Neodiprion lecontei: one gene and its partner. The protein of the gene in region 2 binds, or shares a complex with, the protein of the main gene of each other region. Links are inferred from orthologs where the notes say so. Each region holds a gene or a part of one and is shown on either strand. Other genes may lie near its edges. The genes, in order: DNA replication licensing factor Mcm7 and DNA replication complex GINS protein PSF3.

Evidence for each region.
Region 1: DNA replication complex GINS protein PSF3 (region 2) and DNA replication licensing factor Mcm7 share a complex: the UniProt entries of both Homo sapiens proteins name them as parts of the CMG helicase complex. The link is inferred for Neodiprion lecontei from reciprocal best matches to the Homo sapiens genes GINS3 and MCM7.

What each region holds. Positions count from the first base shown.
Region 1 is NC_060261.1:14,198,582-14,209,142, forward strand, and holds the start of DNA replication licensing factor Mcm7, read left to right. Parts: upstream 1-4,280; 5' UTR 4,281-4,566; coding exon 4,567-4,606; intron 4,607-5,072; exon of another isoform or gene 5,073-5,093; intron 5,094-6,602; coding exon 6,603-6,811; intron 6,812-7,215; coding exon 7,216-7,379; intron 7,380-8,638; coding exon 8,639-8,819; intron 8,820-9,114; coding exon 9,115-9,252; intron 9,253-9,330; coding exon 9,331-9,513; intron 9,514-9,814; coding exon 9,815-10,028; intron 10,029-10,561. Other genes in the region: regulator of G-protein signaling 7, read left to right, coding at 1-115, 378-470, 546-611. UniProt on the Homo sapiens protein: Acts as a component of the MCM2-7 complex (MCM complex) which is the replicative helicase essential for 'once per cell cycle' DNA replication initiation and elongation in eukaryotic cells.
Region 2 is NC_060260.1:39,845,599-39,857,618, forward strand, and holds DNA replication complex GINS protein PSF3, read right to left. Parts: upstream 8,290-12,020; 5' UTR 8,203-8,289; coding exon 8,097-8,202; intron 7,721-8,096; coding exon 7,576-7,720; intron 7,481-7,575; coding exon 7,351-7,480; intron 6,745-7,350; coding exon 6,511-6,744; 3' UTR 3,968-6,510; downstream 1-3,967. Other genes in the region: hepatocyte nuclear factor 4-gamma, read left to right, coding at 1,251-1,403, 2,049-2,557. UniProt on the Homo sapiens protein: Required for correct functioning of the GINS complex, a complex that plays an essential role in the initiation of DNA replication, and progression of DNA replication forks.

The DNA of each region.
Region 1 (10,561 bases), on a different chromosome or scaffold from region 2:
GGATGAGTATTTAGGTACTGATGCCAGCTGTCCGATTAACGTTGATTCAAGATCGTATGATTCCACTAAGAAGAACTTGGAACAGTCAGACAGATGGAGTTTCGACATCGCTGCTGTAACTATTTTCACACATACTATTACATTGTATTGTTTTCATGGCAGAATTCAGAGAAGATTATCGAAAATTAAGTCTAATCTGATTCAAACTTAACTACTACTATAAATTTATTACAATCCAAATCATGATTTTCTGCCACGTTCAACTTATCAAGTCACTATCAATAATCTGTCTATCCTCAATTTAACATTCTTGTTCCAATAATATTTCCATCAGCTGACGAAAAATATTAACACTCACTGTAACATTTTGTACTCAGGCTCACGTCTATCACCTGATGAAAAGTGATAGTTATTCGAGATATCTACGCTCGGAAATGTACAAAGATTTTCTCAACGGTTCCAAGAAAAAAGTAAGATTTCATTGTTTATATTCATGACTCACTGCCCATGTAGTTCATTGGTGTTACTTTCACCTTCTGTTTCAGACATCAGTAAAAGGTATTCGTTCCATTGTGTCGTTCACCGCTCGCAAGGATGCTACAGGATCTTAACTGATACATGTAATAATTTTTTGTGTAGTGCGATGTTTAAATTTTAAGTCTCCATTGACATTCGAGCTTATAGACTGAAGAACACGACGATGCATAGTAATTTTTTTCGTTTTGCATTACAGATAGGCTTTGAATTTGTTATACTACACCTGCTGGGTTGAAAAATTTGCAGGAGGGTGCTGCTGCAGTGGAATTTCAATGATATTCTTGATAATGCAATTCTGATATTTTCCTTATAGGGTGTCGGGAAAGGGGGGGAGGGGGGGAGGGGGATCATTATTGCCGAATGATGTGATATAATTATAAAACGGTGTTATTGTTATATGAATAAATGAAGTTGATGCCAGGAAGATTGAAATAGAAAGGAATAAGAAAATTACGAACCTGACAGAATATTCACTGATATAGTAATTTCGCCAATATGTACACTCATTCGCGTATCCAGTATACACATAGATTTGTACACACACTGGAGGTCTACACAACATTGAGGAAACCTAGCCCACTGCCGACAATTGCAAATATATATTTTTTGAGGTGTATGAATTCTATGGAAAAATATTTTATTGTGAGTTCAACTGTATTTTAATTAATTATTCATTATCGTTAAGAGGAGTTGGAAACTCGACCAGGACATTTGATAGATCGATTGATGTTCTTACTGTTCACAGAAGAACACAGCTACGTGAATATCGAATTGCAAAAGTCAAATTGTATAAATATATAGAAATGTACAACCCATGAGAAAATCAAATTATGCTCACCAGAGAGAGAAGCTGTTTTTCAAATTTAGAGTGCAAACATTAAGAAACAATCTTTCTAATTTCTAAGCATTTATATATAAATGTGGATGTATATAATTCGACATACAAGAAAAAAAGAAATTTTGATGACTCAACTTAAATACTGCAGCAAAACAAGAAAGACTTTAAGAAACATATAATATTAAACAATGAACTACAAATTTTTTCGCGATATTATTTAACAATAAGTCACAAAGCGCTACGCTGGACAGTGGCTGCGAACAGTCGACTGGAAAAAATATACTGATCACTTTTAATCCTCGGTAATATAGCCGGGTACTTAAAGTTGTTGTGATTATAGTTGCTGACTAGACAAATTGAATGTATGTATGATAGGCTGTAGAGTGTATAAACATTTACGTGTATAATCAAAGAATGCTCATGTGGCCGATACACATTAGAACATTTGTTATATTAAATATAATAAATGAATATAATACTATACAGCTATACACTTATTGTGCAGGAAACCTGCTTGCTTATACGGGCATATTACCAATTTCAAGGTGATACTGTACGTGTATAATTGCTTATCAACAATATTTATAGAAAAACGGCATCCGTATAGAAATATAATGCAATACGCAGGTATCCTGTGCATAACAATTATTATTGTTGATCTAGCTTGTCCATACCTGAGCTTGTTGATAGATATTTATATATACATATACCTAACAGTTGATTACGGTTTCATCCAATGTGGTAATCAACGGTGTATAAGCATCCGTGTGTATATAGTGTTAGTGAATATGGTTGTACAATTCCGTCTTAGAAACGACTAAAAACATTTGTTAGATTATCGTATATACATACGTATACCTGCACACATTAAAAAAGCACATTCCATGGTTATTTTCACATTTTTTGAGTGAAAAACAGCATACTTGTTTCATTATAATATCACGTTTTTGGTTTCAAACATGCCCTAGTATATTGAGCTGAATCAGCTGGATGTCATTTTTCTTACACGTAAACAAATTATGTATATACGATCGTGTCATTTTATTATTAGTCAGCTCAACAACACTTGCACGGAACGTAATGTAATGAACATGATCAATGTATTTTTTTGAACTTAGGGATAGTGTTGTGGAGAACTATTTGAATTTCAACTATGCGGCTATTGCTAAGCATTGCTAGATCAACATATGTGATGATTGTAATAGAATTCGTGAAAAAGTGATTATCCTGAACGGAATATCCTGAAAATATTAATCCTGAACGGAAAATCACTTTTTTTCCTCATGTAAGCGTAGTGTGAAAAGACATATAGGACTAGACGCGAAAGTTTATAAAAAGTATTTGCTGCCTGATTGGTTGCACGTTCTCGAGAGATCAGAGAATATATATATATTTATGAAGTAAAATGCATCCTGTGGTCAGAAGGCCCAAAGTCGACTGAATTATTTATTCAGTGTTCATCAAATCACGCACGTCAGCATATAACTAGTCTATATAATTAATAGCTTGAAGAACACGGTAAACTATATTTACAATTGTATATCAATCTTATTTGTGTCAAAGAAAAAGAAAAAAGAAAATACTGATCAAAGTTAAGGGGATATATCCATTATTGGGCATATGAAAATTCATTCAATTTGCTATTATTCTAGAAGAACAAAGATTGCCTGCATTCAAAGACGTATCTTTGTAGCCAATTGTTGAGTGTTCACTCGTTATTTAATTATTTTCTTCATTTTGATCACAATCACAAACTATAAAGTCAAATTTACTCTCACGCGACTACTGACTATCTACCTTTAAAAATCTTGTATGCATTTCGTATGATTTAATGGCGCTTTCAAATTGTCTACACTAAAATGGATGGATCCCCTTAAGGTAATAAAATACGTAAAGTAGTAATTTTATGATACGTCCTGCACCCGGGATATCGGAATTGAATGTGCGATGCAATATAATACGGGTCGATAATGATTTTATAAATATGATGTCTAAAATGTGTATTTTGAACTTAAGAACTATTGTCTAGTGTAATTAGGAATATAACTTATTTCCATTTTTTCTGAATTATTCCTCGTGAATCTTAAGAGGCAGAATTAGGATATTAATCAATTAGGACAGTTTAAGGATAATAATTATTACTCCAATGATCCTGTTATGCACAAAAATCCGTGACTACTGAATAAGTTAAGATCTAAAACAGTCTCAAAACCTACACAGAAGTATCAATACCTTTAGATATTATCATCCCGTTGCACCCATACTAGGATCATTTATTATATGGAGAAATTTTATCGGAAAGTAATTGTTTTCTTTTTGTTGCATTAAGAATTGAACAACTAATGTATTCACAACTGAGCACTTCAAAAATGGGGGCTAACATTGAACAGTCTGTAGCTACTATTCGCGGGCATGTATCCCGATTAATAAAGCGGTTACAATAAACAATGGTTTGTTTTATCCAGCGATATACATATATACACAAACACAATTATAATTTCATTATATTTATTATAACTAACATCATAAATCGACAAATAGTTTTTTAAATAAAACTTTACTTTTGCTCAAATCTCGTGTATAATTTTTGTATCAACTAGAGGTCCACAAAAAGCGTTGTAATTACTTACCCTGTGCCTAGTTTATTTTTTTGTACCAAAATTTATCACGTGAATGCATTTCTTGCTTCCGTGTTTCAGAAACGGCATTTACTGCAATGAGATGAGATGTCAATTGTAAAAGATAGAATAACACGTAAAATGATTGAAGAAACTATAGAGCTGGTACAGCACGCAAGTAATATGACTGTTATTGTTAAAAAAGTAAATCGAGGACGTTTATGATTTGCAATATGCCAACAAAGTTGAACGTTCAGTAGAATGGCTAATACTTTCTTCTAACACGGTTATTCGATCTTAAGTATGTTACACACATACCATTCACATGCCTTTAGTCAGCATAAAGTTACCTCTAATCAAAACCCGCGCCCAAACTCTGCCAGCGACAGTGGGGCCTCTAGCGCACTTTCACATGCACCTACTTTTTGCGATTGCGCGGCAAATATGGCGGGAAAACTTCGCCGGCGTCAGTTGTTCCCAACGTGCTGCTGTGTTTAGTCGAAGTCCAGTTGTTTCATCACTTTAACTTTGGCGGTTGATTATTGTCGGTGGTAAACCAAGTCAAGAGTAAAAATGCCTACGAAAGTAAATAGAGACTACACAAAAGACAAAGGTGAGCTGCTTAAACCAATTAGTAATTTAACCCTGTAGTTTATTGATCAATTGATAATTCGATAACCTCAAACGTAGTGTTGTTATTTTCCAAGCTGCATTTGAAGCACTCGCAGTTCTGACTATTAGTTAAAATCGATTAGCGAAGAGAGTCAGTCAACGGCATTGTGTTGAGCCGTGCAACAAGGAAACTGAGATAAAAGTTCAAATTTAAAAAACAGTCAAAATTCCCTAAGAAGGCTTACAGGGTTGTCGTATGGGAACAATCTCTCCTCGTTGTTATTCTTGACAGTTGAATCTGTTCAGGGATCTGATGTCTTCGTAAAGTCAATTGCATATTGATTTTAATTACTCAGTTAACTTGTTCGCTGTTGCTTGTTGCACAGTAGAATGACCGCCGGATCTCTCCTTTCCCAGCTGACTTGTTTAATACATATATCAAGTCTCTGACGGTGACACACACTGGCAGCATAATTGATACTATAATGGTTGGTTTACAGTTGGATTGTTCACCGAGTTTTGCAAGTTGGTTCATTTTGGAAGTTCCAACAAATTGTATAATATTCACTAATAGTTTATCACTAACAGTGTAATGATACTGAAGCAATTTCTCAGTCGTTCTGGTTCTTGTGTTTTATTGTGTTGACTAAAAAATCTCAAGAAGAAATTTTATGTGGAATGAATCCAAGCAATTAAACTAGGAAGTCCCCACAAAGTCTTCTTTCAGAATCTTAGATGTTTCAACGATTGTCGATGAAGTTTGTAAGAATTCCAGTTCGTCTCTTTTAAGAACACCTACAGAGAGAGAAGATTTGCTGATTTTGATGAATTTTTATCCAACAAATTCATAATAAAATGTATTAATTTTTTTTGCAACTCACATAGGGCTAAAATACAATTTCTAACAGATATAAGAAAATTCCAATAAAAAAATACTAATTTGTCTTTCCAGATAAATGCTGTTACACTAGATTAACTAGTGTCATACATTCCTAAAGTTAATTATTGTTACCGAAGATCAATTTTGTTGACTTGGAATTTTTTGTCTTTAGTCTGTGAATGATTGAAGACAAAGCTTTGAGCGAAAAACAAACTATTTCGCTGAGAGATTAACTACTGGGTGGCCACTGGTCAGGGAAAACTGGAATGTCAGAGAATTTTTCAATTAGTTGGAGAATTTTGTGTGGCATGGAAAGAAAAAGAATAAAGCTTCCCTCACGAAGAACCTAAATTCTAAGAACAAATTTTTCTCATGTGCTCAGTTCCATGACCATTAAATAAATCATAAACATATTTTTGAATACTGATTGATTGGGAGCTTTATTTATTAGATACTCGAATTGACCCTAATAGTTCAGATTTTAGTCAGGGAAAAATTATAATTTGGTCAGGAAAAGTTTGAGAAAAGTCACAGAATTTTTTTGACTATCTTTGGTAGCTGCCATGAACTATGAATAAAATCACAAATAAATAATAAAACTTGGAAAAATTACATTCACAAAAGAAATTGCAAATAACTTAACCACTCTATAGGTACCTCGTGTGTATCTTGTAGTTTTCAATAGCAATAGATCACGATGATTTAAAAAACCTCTGGCGGTGGGGTATCGAAAACCAAACTCATTGGAACCTCTGCTGTGTGATCTCGGTGTAACTTGTGCACAATAACTGGTGGTATGGTATATATGGTATATATATAATATGGTTTAGAAATAAGCTTGCGTCGTCATCGACATAACTTAAATGGTTTTAATCAAAGTTATTAGATTCAGCCACTCACATTAACTCCCAACTTTAACTGTATAACGGAATTAGAATTGATATTTGTTAAGGTGATGCACAAGGGTCTGAACAGTTTGAAATGCTTCCTTCAGGTAGTATAAACTGAAATTGTGTCATGGACTGAATGCGGCAATAATCCATTATCTCTATTTTGACATTAAGTAATTTTCACCAATACTGAGTGACTCACACCAAGTACCTGATCTTTGTTACAGAACAGCTCAAGCAGTTCTTTGCCGAGTATGCGAAAATGGATGATAAATCAGGCGATAAGACGTTTAAATATCGCACTCAACTCACCAATATTGCTCATAGAGAGCAAGTTGCATTTATCATTGAACTTGACGACGTCGCTGAATTTGATGACGAATTGGCTGAAGCTATACAATATAATACTCGTCGTTATACTACATTAGTATCAGAGGTACAATGAGAGAAGAGTAATCATTGAAAGCATTTCTCTTATTTTTGACAGAAAACTGTTAGTAATTTTCAAAGCTTGTAGCTGCTATTTGTCAAGTCAACTTATAAAATTGAACAGAGCCTTCAGAAAACTAATACCCAATTTCACCTTGGAAGTCCGCACTTTGTTTATACAGAAACAATTTGTGTCATTCTGTGTCAGATGGGATGAAAATTCGTAATATTAATATGCAACAATAGATTTTTCAGAAAAATCTCTATTAAACAGTATAAAATTGTTCAAAATTTAGTAAAACGATATGATGCAAAACATAATCACATTTTTCAAATGCAAACCCTTCAGTTTAATTCCTAAGTTACAAAATGATGTTTTTCAATGTTACGAATTTCAATCTCATCCTTTAGATAGTCCAGGAAATGTTACCCGACTTTAAAGAAAGAGTCGTACCACCTAAAGATTCATTGGATGTTTATATTGAGCATCGTTTGTTGATGGAGCAACGCAACAGACATCCTGGAGATCAGAGGGACCCAAGAAACAATTATCCACCAGAGCTCATGCGACGATTGTGAGTAATGCATTGATCTAACAACTGTAATATCTATAATTTTTCACCACTTAAGTAGGGAAACGGTCATTATATTTGTTGGTGTCTCAAGAATCATAGTTCGTGAAATAATTCTGTTTGTTTTCTGTGTGTTCACAGTTGTATCCTATTTCGATAGGTTTATTTAATACGTAAATTTCTTTAGTATTTTCTTAGTAGCCTGCTTCTTAGTTGAAATTTATTTTGTTCTTGAGTAGAAGTACGTACTACACACTACCAATCGAGTATCACTTATTTGCTCCAAATACAATGACTTCAATTCAACGATTTTGATTTAGTTAGTTTGTCAAAATAATTTAGTCAAGCGAATTCCTTGATTCGACAAAATTCTTTCTTGTCGCGATCGAATGAAATATTGATTCGAGTGAACCTTTTAATGTTTTACCGAAATTGAGTCAACTAAATATCATTTCATTTGAAGTTTACGTATTGTTCCTCCAAGTCACATGTTTGTTGACAAAAACAATTAAGTACTTCAAATAAAATGAGTACATGAATCTAGCCAACAAAAAATTTACATCAATTAATGCTGTACTTTGTTGATCTAACCGGAGCTTGTTTGGTGTAACTAGTTGGATCAGTTGCAATAATTTTTTTACTAGGTAAAACAAACACCACATACTTTAAAATAAGTAGAGAATATATTCATCGTAAACATCAGTATACTAGTACGATAAACAGCCACTAGGTGGTGAACTTTCTCAGTACGGAAGTAGCTTCAGAGATAGTTATAAAACCGGGTAGTTGGCTAAGAAGTTTGATACGGATAATGGAAGAGAAATTTATCATCAGAGGTATTAAAACATTTGAGAGCACAATGTCAAGTTTAGTGTTGACATTCTATGTCGGTTTCGGCAAATACCTTTTTTGACATTCGTACCCTAGAGACAATATTGTGTACTCAATCATTCTCATACATAAAAATATAAGTAATCCAAAGCTACTGGAAATTACGCGTAACATCAATCACAAAGAATGTTTGATGCTGCTGGTAATGATACAGGTTGTCAGGATTAACATCATATCCGATACAAAACACACTTATTTTAAGACAAACGCTGAAAACCCTGTAGGATCAACCCAGAGAAGTTGAATTGAGTCTACGTAATGCCTCCCTGAAAATCAACTAACTTTTACTTTTCCATAAATTTCCTGTACATTTATTACGTTTCCATCGATTGAAATAGAAATCCTATCTGTACATATCCATCTCTTTTCAGCGAAGTTTACTTCAGAGATTTCGGAGCATCTAAAGCTTTACCGGTTAGAGACATAAAAGCTGAGCACATTGGCAAATTAGTCACAGTAAGGGGTATCGTTACCCGATCCACAGAGGTTAAACCGATGATGGTCGTTGCCACTTATACTTGTGATCAATGCGGGGCAGAAACATACCAACCGGTAGGGAAAAATCATGCCGGTTCATTTTGCACAAAAGCCCCATAGGGAGCTATTCGATTTTATTTATCGTCATCTGTGGCGATTAGCAACTAATCCGAACATAGGGTTCATTGTGCATTTTCCGCACATTTAGTAAGTACTGCGAACAGCTACGACTCGCTTTTTATGCTGTAGCTCCCAATGGGGACGTTGCTCGAAATGTTCTGGTACATATAATATCGAATAGATAATTGGACTTACAATTAATGACTTTCTAAAAAGTACAGTTATTATTACTTCGCTACTCAATGTGCAGGTACTTTCGCTAAGCTTCATGCCCTTGCAATTCTGTGGAAGCGACGATTGCCGGGTCAATAAATCTGGAGGAAGGTTATCTTTGCAAACAAGAGGTTCCAAGTTCATTAAGTTTCAGGAGATCAAGATTCAAGAACATGTAAGCTCAAGTAGTCAATAGTGTAGTCAGATAATCTCTGAATAAAAGATAGAATCCTACTTGCATATTATATTGCAGAGTGATCAAGTACCTGTTGGTCATATTCCAAGATCGTTGACGATCTTCTGCCGCGGTGAAATGACAAGGCAATGTCAGCCTGGAGATCATGTAACTATTACTGGAATATTTTTACCTTTACTGAGATCAGGATTCAGGCAAATGATATCTGGACTACTGAGCGAAACTTTCTTAGAGGCACACGTAAGAATATTCTTTCATTTTGTACGAAACTCTGTAATTATTCGTGACAATTACTCTATACTTTATTCTTATACTGGAACAAGAAAATTGTACTCGATGTATAGGTAGAATTACCCTTATCGGATGAGTTCGGAAAATGTTTCGATCTCTATCGCCAAGTCTGATAAACAAAAATCAACTTATATTCATAAGAATACTATAATTGGTTACGAATAAAAAACAACCTTATTCCTCACAGACGACATTTCATGTCAAAGAATTTGGAGATAGTTAAATTTCACTAGCCACTGTTCAATTTCAGAGAGTTATTGGCATCAATCAAATAGATGCCGAGAATGACGCCTCTAACGAATTAACACCCGAAGAATTAGAACTGTTAACTGACGATGGATTTTATGATAAACTGGCGTGTTCTTTGGCGCCAGAAATTTACGGGCATGAGGACATCAAGAAAGCTTTGTTGTTACTTCTTGTTGGTGGTGTTGATAATAAATCCAATGATATGAAAATCAGAGGTATGAAATTTTTTTTTATCAATTCTCATCGCCACAGTAACCTTAACCAATCAGTTCAATAAAATTATCCTCTGTATAAAAAACCCGAAATTTATCGAAACGCGTATTTCCAAGTAAAAACGAGTCAGTTGATTAAATAAAATTCGAAAAGAACCAAGGCTCTACTTGTATTCAATGTAACGTTTACTAAATGGTAATGGTTGTTGAAAGAGAATTTATTATCGTGAATAAGAAGTTTCTTCTCTTCAAGCACTGTGTATAAGGAGGACTATAATGTGTAGATGTTGTGTTTACCCTTTTGAATCCTTGCTTTCGATGAGAAGCCACGTAAGACAAGCAATGCCGTCTAATGAATGATATGCAGATGTGCAAATCATTTTTCTACGAGAAGAATATTGTTGAAAGAAACACAGGAAAACAAATTCGAACTCACTGGTGATGAGAGAAATTAACGACAACAGAGTCAGGGCGGCTAGGTGGTCTAGTGGAGTAAGGCTCCGGTCAAGCATCTCTAGACGCCAGGTTCGATTCCT
Region 2 (12,020 bases):
GTTGCGGATCAAGGTGAATATGTTATTATACACTTGTCTGTGGAGCGTTAATCATCGGACATTATACGCTGCATAAATAAACATTTATTTTTACGTAACTTTGTTGATGCGATAACGGAGAGTAAATAAATATGTATACACCTATATATACGTATAAATCGTAAATATTCGAGAATATCTCAACTGTCGCAATGTCTGCAACATTTAAAAATACCTATAAATATTGTACACTGGTATAAAACGTCTGGCTTGAAGTGAATTGATTGATTGAATTTAAATTGTGAAAATAGAAGTATAAAAATGCATGAACTCTGCATGCAAAACTGCACGCCACTGTAACATATTATTCGTTTCTCCATATGTAATGCAAATGCGGATGAAAGTACGTCAAGGCCTCGAAATGAAGTTTCTTTAAAGATTCAAAAATAGTACATTATGTTACAAATGTGGGAAATGGGCGATTTCCATCGAGTGTGAAGTAAGCAGCGTGAGCCGCAAAGCGAGCGCTGTAAATACGCGAGTCGGATAACACCCATCCTCACGTGTGACACACGCCATCTTTACCAACACCTGTGAAGGAAAGTTTGAATTGATAAGCAAACTAATGTAATTTGAGAATTCAGAAGAAGTAGACCAAGGACAATTAAGGGGGCCAGAAGCATAGGCTCGGCTTCGTGAAACCTAACCTAAGCGCGCCAACTTCAGGTTGAACTCGGACCAATTACGTCATCGGAGGCGCGTATCGGGAAAGGTGCGCATGCGCCAAGGAAACCTTAGTGTGTAAAATTGTGAATTTTAATATACGCATGCGCAAGCGTCGTTTTACCGCACTTTACGCACGCTCCACAGGCTTTGTTGATCCAACTTTCCAAGCATGTGTTGAAAAGAGATGATTTTTCTCTAATTACCCTGAACTAACACACGCTTCAATTTATACCAAATCAATTCGGGTTCTTATTGTATTGCATAATTTCGTCGAACATTAGGGATAGTTTATTCGTATATTCATATATCATTATGCACGGCAATGGGGTGTAGCTAGTTCGACTGAGTCCGGCGTAATTGTTCTCTGTGTTTATATTATACACCTAGAGTTGCATGGTCGTGGAATATGGTTCTGCTGGATAATGGATATGCCTGTACATTTACCTGTCGCAATGCATCGGTGGTAACAGGAAGGCACTTGATTGAAAATATGATTGCCGGGCTCAGTCTAGATTTTAAGAAGAACGGTATAACCGTTGTGTCAGTAATCTTGTTGTCCACAGAGGGACGCAGCCAGGACCTCGACATAAGCAGAGTCGGGACTAGGATTATGGAAGAGCTTGTCAAGCCTCTACACAACGTGCAAATCGACGACACGGAATTCGCTTGTCTCAAAGCCATAGTGTTCTTTGATCCGAGTGAGTATCCAATCTTAAAAATAATAATGTAAATCGACTAAGGAAGCAAGCCTCGTTTTACACTACGACATCATCTTCACCCGAGTAACGTATCGTTTCAAACCTCGGGAAATGACGATAGTTTTCGCAACTTTGGACTGGAACAGTTTTTGTGATAAGAGTTCACGCCCACGCTTAACGCACTTCATGCGCGAGCCAAAACGGCCCCCGCTCCGCCAAAAAATGTCAAATTTTCAAATGGCGATATCTCAGCAACCAAGGCATATTCGATCAAAAATCAAAAACGGCGTTAATTCGGAGGTCTTGAACTTTCACCACGGGAAACGGGAACCCGATCCGCGACATCGGAGGTCCCTAATTCCCTTGTCAGTGCAGCCAATTGAAAACGCCGTTAGTGCAACTTACTTGACGCGAGAGAGTTTGGCGTCTTCCCGTTTCGAGTATGTTGGCTGCCCTGTCTAGCGTAAGGAAAACATTGCCGCGGTACGATATCGCCGACCAATAGAGTTGAATTACCTCGCGCATGCGCAGTCGAGGACCGACTGTGCCGTACGTTTGACACATCCTTAAACGTCATCAAAATTCATTCCCCCGTTGTATAAACGATTCACTAAAATAACAGAGTGTAAAACGACTTTTCCACAGACGCAAAAGGGCTTAGCGAGCCGGCCAGAATCAAGCATCTCCGTTACCAGATCCAGATAAACCTCGAGGATTACATAAGCGACCGTCAGTACGACAGCCGAGGTCGTTTCGGCGAGATCCTCCTGACGTTACCGGCCCTCCAGTCGATCTCGTGGCAAATGATCGAGCAGATACAATTCGTCAGGCTGTTCGGAGTCGCGCACATCGACAGTCTCCTCCAGGAGATGCTGCTCGGCGGCGCCACGGCCGAAAACAACGGCTCGGCGTCTCTGCCGATACCGAACGCGCCCGGAAGCTACGTCAGCAGCAACGAGAGTCCGAGCAGTCCGCTGACCCCTGCTCATCCCGGTCCCCTGAGTCCCCAGGACCACATGCTAGCCGCCGGAAGTCCGCCTGACATGATGCTCAGGGACCTCACGTCGATGAGTAACGAGGAACACACAACAGCCGCCGGTTTCAGGATGTTCAAACAGGAGCCAAGCCTCGAGGCCGAACCGCCGGGTTTTTGACTAGACGATGAACTTCCGTCCATTTATCCGGAAGAGATGGCCTGCTGAAAATCCTCCTCCTCCTCCTCCTCCTCCTCCTCATATTCGTTCCTGCAAGCTCATTATTATGTGTAGTGCACGATCGACCTTAAATTTCGATGCAAGGTGTAATTATCCGAAATCGACAAAGACGCGACAGTGAGGACTAATCGTATTTGGGGTATCGGGCCGGGAATTAGAAATTACAGAAACGGACGAGAAAATTTTGTGCATGATGATTCTTTGAGTGATATCCAGTCGGAACACAATGATATGATGTTGATCGATCGGTAATAAAAGAGGAATCAATCACGGATTGTTTAAAAATTGAAATTTTGAAACGACAAAGACAATTTGAATTCGGTATACGATTACCGAGAAAAAATTTACTTCGCCATTTTTTCCTGCCAATCTCTGAATTGCGTATAATACGATAAGCTGCGTTTTAGACGATAAGTGTTCAGTGTGAGGAACTGAGCAACGATGACGTATATATAGTCGGAAGGATGACTGATTATATAGAAAATATCCAAAACACTGCGAGTTTTTGATACCGCGTATATATTTATACACCATTGTGAACGATATAGCCATAGATGATCAGTGCCTTGATAATTGCTCAATATATAATTTCTATATCAAAGTAATGATATACGGAAAACTATTGTATACAAGAAACAAATCGTTGATAGATTTGAAAGAAAAACAAACAAAAAACAATGTGGCATTATTTATATACCTACGATAAACAAAATACCTAAGCGTGTATATTCGTAAGTATACACGCGTAGCATTAATTGAAATTTATTAATGCAGGTAAAACTTGTGATAAGATATAATAAACATCTAAACATATACATAATAAATAATTGAAAAAATTGAAAAACTTATACGTGCGATCTTACGATTAATTACCATTATGAAATAATTCCGGAGTAGGAATTTTGAGTGGTAGAAAACGAAAAAAAAAAAAAAATATACATCAGACACTCAAATTTGAGTAACTTTACACGTAAATTGCATAGTATAATAAACTCAATTACTCGAGTGGGAGAAACAGAAATCGCGTGAATTAAGTGAAGTACTTGTCCGAATAACAAGAACAAAAATGAACAAAGGGACGGTAGACTAATAATCGAATATGTAATGACGAAAGCTCGTAAGCAATGCAACTGTAATGACAATAGTTTAAGGGTATAAATTAACGATTAAGTTTGTAAACTTGCAAGTGCCAATTTACGCATGTTTACTAAGTATACGCGTATAATAGAGAAAAATTTATTCCTTACAAAATAACACTTTGCTCAAAAGCGATATTTTTTACTTTTCGCGACCTTTGGTGACGTAGCAAAAGTATTAGATTCGGTCGCAAATCACTTTTTTCAAATTCAACGAATCTTTACGTTTTCGAACCTCTAGAATTCGAAAAACAGTATAAAGAAAATGTCGGTCTGTCCGGCAAACTCTCGCGACGATACGGGAAACGACTGGATGAAAAAATTTGAAACTTACAGAATTTTTTACAATCAAATGGTGGGCATGAAAAATTGCTACAAAGAAAAGATGCAACAGAAAGGAAGGGAAACTAAAACGATCGAAGGGTTAGAATGAGTTTCTTTTTTCGTTTACCGATTTACAAATTTTATCTGTATTATCCACAACCTTTTTTTCTAAATACAAGTTTCGCTTTTTCATTTTTCGCTTCCGGTTTGTCGCTAAAAATTGTCTCGAATAAAAAAATTTTACTACCACTTTACCTTGGGTGAATAGAACTGTAACTTTATAACTGACGAGAAGGTTTATATAATAATATATTTTATATAAAACTTAGATATATTAAAGATTTTACAATAAAATATTATAGAAGTTTAGGACGTATGGAATGGGAAAAAAAAAATTATATACATTCCGAAATCAATAATAGGAAAAAACTTCTTGTAAATATCGTTGTCGTTAGGTATTAAATTCTGTGTATAGTATACACATTATTTTGTACAATCGTAAAATGAAAAACGCGTCAATTTACTAAAGACGACGTAATTTATGCGCAGTACGCGTTATTTTTTTTTATTTTTATTTTTTTTTTTTATTTTACTTACGAGTAACGTGAGCCATTGCAATGCAATTTGTTATAGTAACACCGTAAATATTGGTGTATGTTATATATAGACAGGGAGATTCAGTCTACAGTAATTTTGAAATTGAAATATTATTATTGCCCCAAGATCATAATTATTGCAATTAATAATTACAGGGCTGGTAGTATTCAAGTCGTTTCAAGAAAGTGAAAAAAACCGACTGTCAGACATAAAAAAAGCAAATAAATAGTGACCGATCATAATTAAATATAGCAATTAAGCGAAAAGTGTCGCCACAGTCTTATTCATTTCATCAGAAATAGCCCTATTTTCATTTATGTCACTGAATACGGGTTTTCATTGTTCGTGACATCTTTTTCCGCATTAAAAAAAATGCATCACTGTACACGATATTGAGTGAATGAGTTACAAGTGAACGATAACTCTGATTTACGAATTTATTGTCCTTTCGGGCAAAACATTTCGATAAAGAAAGAATGATCAATGTTATCATAGTTGATTTTCCAAAATAAAACTGAAGCTAATTTTTCTCCTGAAAATACTATAACGCTTAAAAAAAAAAAACAACAGAATCTTGTCCATAGCGGATATCACGTAAGAAAAAAATTGTGCAACAAAATTTTTTCTGCACGAAACTCAATATTACGAACGAGAAAATGACCTGAAAGATCATTTCTTGGAAAAAATAACAAAAAGTGACTCCGTGAAAAAAAAAAGTGTACAATAGTGAGAAAAGTGACCGACTACCAGCCCTGTACTTGTTATTTCCTATTACAACTGTTAGCATTAATATTATTGCTGTCATTGTTATAATAATAATAATTATTATTATTGTTAGCGTTATTCAAAATCTGAAGAAAGAGAGAAAATAATTTCAATGAGAATTCAGAGAGTTTATTACAATTTGATGTGGAAACTCGACCGAACCCAAAGCAATAGTAAAATATTATATTTTTTTTTTTTTTACTCCACAATGAGGTTTACGCATAAAAAATAAAACTTTCCTATATTTTTAACAAGCTAGAAATAAAAAATTTTTCAGAAATGAACAAACTAAAAAAAAGTCACATTGCACACGCCCGAATAGAAGATATAGCGTATCTTTCGCTTTCAATTAATATTGTTTACATTTCATTCTTTCGTTCTCTGTACAAACAAACAACTTATGTGAACTCACATTCTCGTTGTTGTTGATTTTTTTAAAAATTATATCTCTTCGACCGTTATGAAATGCGAATAGAATTGCTTACAAGAATCGTTCCGAGTTTTTGTTTGTTCATTAAATCAATGAATAATTAGTGATTATTTTCTTTCCATTCTAACCTTACGTAGTCAATGGGTTGTGAGATAAATGATGAACCTGTTGTTTGTTGCGTGATTAATGTTATTATTATTATTATTATTATTACTATTATTATTACAATTATTACTGTCATTATGATTTTTCTAACGTTAGCAGTTGTATCATCTGACTGATTTCGTTGGAGAATATCACGGAAGAGAATATTTACATTTGTTACCTAGTAATAGCGATAATTATTCAAACCTATCTATTTCACTTGTTCAAATAAAGGGTTATAATTGTACAATTCTAAAACAGCAAGAGTGTACCTCTAATTATTCATGCATATAAAAACAAATTTTGACCCCGTCATCCTCACCCCGAGTATTCAAGAAACGATTCAATTTTATACAAGGAGTTATCTAAAGTCCAGCTTTAATTTGATCATCGATTCAGTTTTCAGGAGAGTTTCATCGATTCGAGTAGCTTGCAAGACAGTACTGTCGGCAAAGCAGAGTAATAAATGCGTAAGAGTATCTAAGAATTGCCCAAAATCACGTATTCTCATCCTCTAGCTCCGCTCGTTTTCGTTTCTTATGATTAGCTACCATCTCCGATGTCTCAATACTACCGCCGCCTTCCTTCAACCAAGAAATCAAGAGACACCTAGACTTTCTACCTGTTAAAAACAACTTTCTCTCCAGAATAGGAAGCTGCAATCCTACCGTCGGATCTGTTCCTGTATTATGAGCCCAGTCCATTACTAGTCTGAACCGCGATTTGAACGCCTGAAAAGCAACGATCGCCGTAGAAATAATGAAAGAAAACAAATACAAAATTTAACAAAACGTCACTATCTTAGAGAATCAATTCGAGACAAAAGAAATGAAGGAAAAAACATCACATGTCCACCATTTTTCGGCGAATATCTATGTGCATTTCAGTCACAGGAGTTATACCACTCACAATACTTGACTCGAGGAATTACCAACGCCTAAAAATCTTTGTGAAATTGTTGCGAACTTTATAGATTATAAGTGCACTTTTTCAATGCAAATTTGTAAGCATCTCTGCATATTTTTATCAGGATTGCAGGAAAAAACTTCATTCGTGAGAAAACGCATGAACACTAGTGAATAATATTCAGAACTCAACTTTACGCACGACAGTAGGATGTAAAATTTTCCGCGACAAATGAGGTCAAGATTAAAATTTAGTGAGCATTTCTACCCAGGGAGCAGGTGTTTCTCTTCGCAGTTGAGTAATTATTCAAAAAATGTAAATAATTCTACCTTCTTATCCAGAGATTTTCGGTGAACTTTTCTCTCAGATTTGTCTGTGTAATCTCTACGCATTTTTATGAGAGATATAATTAAGATGTTCAAAAGAATTACCTGCAATAGTAGATCCTGAATAAGGTTGCAATCGCTATGCTCGTATTGAGCGAGGTGAATTCCGAATTCATAGAAATAGCAACTCCACTTGTTTAGAGCCACCGCGCATGCGTCTGCAGTTAGAATTTCACTATGGTGTAACAGAATTGAATATGTCAGTTGTTACATGTACTGATAGCTGCTCACGAACTCTTTCAAATAATTCCAACACATTCATATAATTACCGGTATGCCTCCTTGTATATTTTAGGAACTTCTATACTGACGAATGGATGCGTTCTAGAATTCATGGGGTACGCAAGCCAGTGAGGGAGGTCCAATTTTGTTCCTGATTGCAGATCTGGCGACTCCGAAGACACGTCCAGGTAGCCTGTGTTCAAATTACTAAGTAAATGAAATGTATGAAATCTAGATTGCTACATTCCTTCATCACTACACACATAACATTGAGATTAATAAATACAAAAAACAGTGTTTCAGACTATAATTCGAAATAAACGTCACTGAAAGACCGGTTTCAATTTCGTTCGCAGGTTATGTCATGACAGAGTAACGAAATTTGTAGAAATTAATCATAGAACATGGTGGTAAAGAGAATACGAAACTGAATGAAACCCACATCCAAGTCATCAGCATCAATTCGACATCAGAATATCAATGTAACGGATAGAATCATCGAGGTCATTGCAGCGTTTCGTCTTGATGTGATGCGTTAGGTTAGGTTAGGTTTTCGTTGATAAACTCACCGAGACCTGGCAGTTTGACTTCGATCTTGCATGACACGCGTTCTTGACTGGAAAGAATATCATCGATCGAGAAGTAATTTGGCATGTAACTATGACACAACGACATTTTGCACAATGTTCCTCGCTGTTCCGGCGCGTACGTTACTGTACGTTACCGCATTCCGACTTAACGTCAGGCGCTACTGGACGGAACCTTGGAGTATATAGACATAGTGGAAGCATCGACGTTGAAAAAGTATCCCCGAGCCAGTGAGAGAAAGGGACGTCGTAATACAACATGCGCTCTCTTTCTACGGCAGAAGCGCATCGTTGTAGTATTACTAATTCCCTCACTATACCGTTTTCTACTCACAAGAAAGGGGACACCAGGCTTCGTCCACGTCTATATGCTCTTAAGACAAAACGAGTGAATTAGTTCTCAGCACTGTCAACAATCTTTTAACAGAAATCAGTTATCTATTTTGCGCTGCGGAGTTCGTGAGTAGCTTCGCCTCTATCCTAAGGAGTTTTTATAGCTGCCAGCTAATTTCCGAACGCACCGTAAGCAGTAAGTGAAGTGAGTAGCGCACCAATACCCTAGTCTCCATGCACTCACAGGTTTACTTACTACCACCATTCGATCGAGCAGTGTCGCCAATATTCGAAATGACAAACAGCGTTATCATCAACCACTTTACATCGAATTCATATTCCGCGCGAATATTCAAACATTCTGACGGCAAAAATTCTCAATAGATATTTGCGAACGTTGTCTAAAAAATACAAAGACGGATACCGCTGGCAAATTTTCTTGAGCACTTTTCGATGTGTATTTTCCAACAGGAACTGCGTATCGCGGTCAGTAATGGATAAAACTTCCATGTCCCTGGAATAGTTTACTATTTGTGTAAAATAATTTAATTTGATATAATTATATCTACAATAATTATTCCACAGATAATTATTTTACACAAAAATATCAAAATTTCAGTTAACACACGCAGGTCCATAAAGGTTTTTACATTCTTTAGTCAACATATTGATGGATCTATCACATGCGTGATCTTTATGTGCTAATCGTAAGCCAATCTTGTCAAAGCTGTTCATTTTACGCTTTTTGTTAATAAATTTCCAAAATACCAATGGGAAGTTTTTCTTCCATTAAATTCATTTATAAAAAAAAAACGGGGAATATAAGATGGGTCGACAAACGAAATGAGGATATGTAATTACGATCTATAAATTATGCATAATTTAGCGATATTTTTAATATTAGTTTATTTCGACATTTTAAGATGTATGGACAATTATTACATAATAATTATATATATAATGAGACATATTTTACTTTATGTCGGTTGGTTTGCGTGTATATAATTATGTATTCCAATTATATGTATCGTGTGTCTCTCCTCGTTACATTTTCTTTTTAGACATTTCGAATCTTACACAACACCCTTTCATAAAATTATAATTATACATATATATATATTTATATATTTATATAGTCATTAAACTATGATAATGAATTATGAAATATGTGTTCAGGGTAGGTTGTTAATCGCAAATTAATAATAATTATTCATTTTTTTTCTTCTTTCTCTTCGTCTTCTTCTTCTTCGTCGTGTTATCGTTATCAATATTATAATCAGTATATTAATGATTAACCATATTATGTATAATTACGATGTAACACTATAATTAAATTTTGTTGTGAATTTTTTTTTTTTTTTTTTCATTTTTTCCATCTTTTTTTCTGTATTTACTTTTATTTACTGTATTATCATTAATATTATTATCATTATTATTATTATTATCATTATCATTATTATCATTATTAATATTATTATATATTTCATCCGAAATAAGTGAAAGTACGTTATACAATTAATCCTGCACGCATATTATATATAATAATATAGTATATATATATATATATATATATATTATATGTATGTTCGCAACTCGACAATATTATTCCGCATAAGTTTTTCTTTTTTGTTTCATTCATTTAATTATTCATTTTGTTTTTAATAATTTTCGTTTTCTTCTTCTTTCTTTTCGTTCTGTTTTTTTTTTTTAAATTTTTTTTCTATTTTTCTGTTTGTGTATCACTCGTTAATTAGAAATACGCAGGAATATTCAATGACATAATTATCGTATTAAAGAGTATCTAAGACATTGCCGATTACCGTATCTCAAAAGATGGTAAAACTTTTCAACCTTCTTTACACCTGCAAGATATTCTCTGGTCAGCATTAATACAGGAATCCACACATACTTGTAGACATGATACCAGAAGAACAGTATTTGTGTGATGTAATTAACTTATTCTTGGTACGTACGGTTCCTATATGTGTGTGTGTGTATAATATATGCATATACATGTGTGCACATAATGTATACATACGAAATGCTAGCCAGAAAATGTCTATATTATATGTATGCTAGTCTAAAACTATCCGTACATTATATTATTATTATTAATATTATTAATATTGTTATTATTGTTATTATTATTTGAAAAAACGGTAGTTTTTGCCCATCGGCTTCAATATACACCGTCTATAACCAATACATAAATACGGTATCAAGATCGATCTTGAATTTTGCCATCTTCTTGTGCACAAGATACAGATTAACGCAGGGGAGGCCAAACTTTCGCACAAGTTACAATTCTAACCTCACGCAAAATACATGCCCGTCTGTCAAGGACTCGAGGATTGCTTTGGATTGTTTTTAATTTTTTTTTAATCCTTTGTCAAAATCAGGGCGCATGGAAACGAAGCAAGACGAAGGCAACCTTGAATCGTGATGCCGGGTATATTTTCACTCTTATAATTACACTCAACCACTTCGCACCTGCAATACTCGGAGCCAAAAGAGCCGCGTCAAGTCTGACCGACCCTGCGGCAATGTCTTATTTCTCTTCTTTTAATAATGATTATTACAAAACCTTCGGTTGTGTCTTTGTCGTATTTCTATTTTTAACAATACTCCTATGTATTTTATTTTTTATTTTTTTTTTCTTGCTACGTAACTCTATGCAATATGTATTAATAAGGAAAACCCTGACCTCGGCAGCTGCACTAGCAGGTCCTTTATTTCTCACGCTACGGTTTTTTTCTTCGTCAACTTGGTTTTTTTTTTTTAATTAAAAAAAAATTTATTTTTTTTCTGGTTTTTTTCAATTAATACAGAGTAACTATAATTATATATAAATATATATATATATGTGTATATATTTATATATATATATATATATATATAGGTATAGGGAAGCGCGGTTGGTAATAACACTTCCTAATTCCCTCGTCTATGCCGATACACGTCATGTATTTTTAAACATGCAAACGGTGTTGCGTATGCATGTATATCGCGTTTCGCGGCGCATTGTTACGAACAATTTACTAACGGCTCGTTGAAAGTTGTAAATAAAAAGAGATGGAGAGGAAAGAAAAAAAACAAAAAAAAAAAAATTATCGGCATTAATAACAATTAACGGTATCGATGTTAAACAGTGAGAAAATTTTATGAATCGTAACGTATTGTGTTGAAACAGAAAGTCTCCTGCATACCAGTGTATTGTTCAGCTATATATGTGACTAGAAACACGTTGTAATATGAAATATAATGTATGACTTAGGTGTACGATAGTAATAAGAAATATTATTATAATCAAATATATTACTTATAATTATACATAATAGTTACAGAGATTTAAAAATCATAGCGTTGATGTAACTTAATTTTACAATAATATGGCAACCGCGATAGTATAAAATAAAAAATAAAAACGAAACAATAATTGAAATAATGATAATATTAACGATAATAAGACTGGGAAATGTAGACTCGAAATATAATATCTTACGTGTATGACATTTGTGAATTTATGCGATGAAAAAATAAAATTGTTTTACACGCGTATTCGTTTTTTTATAC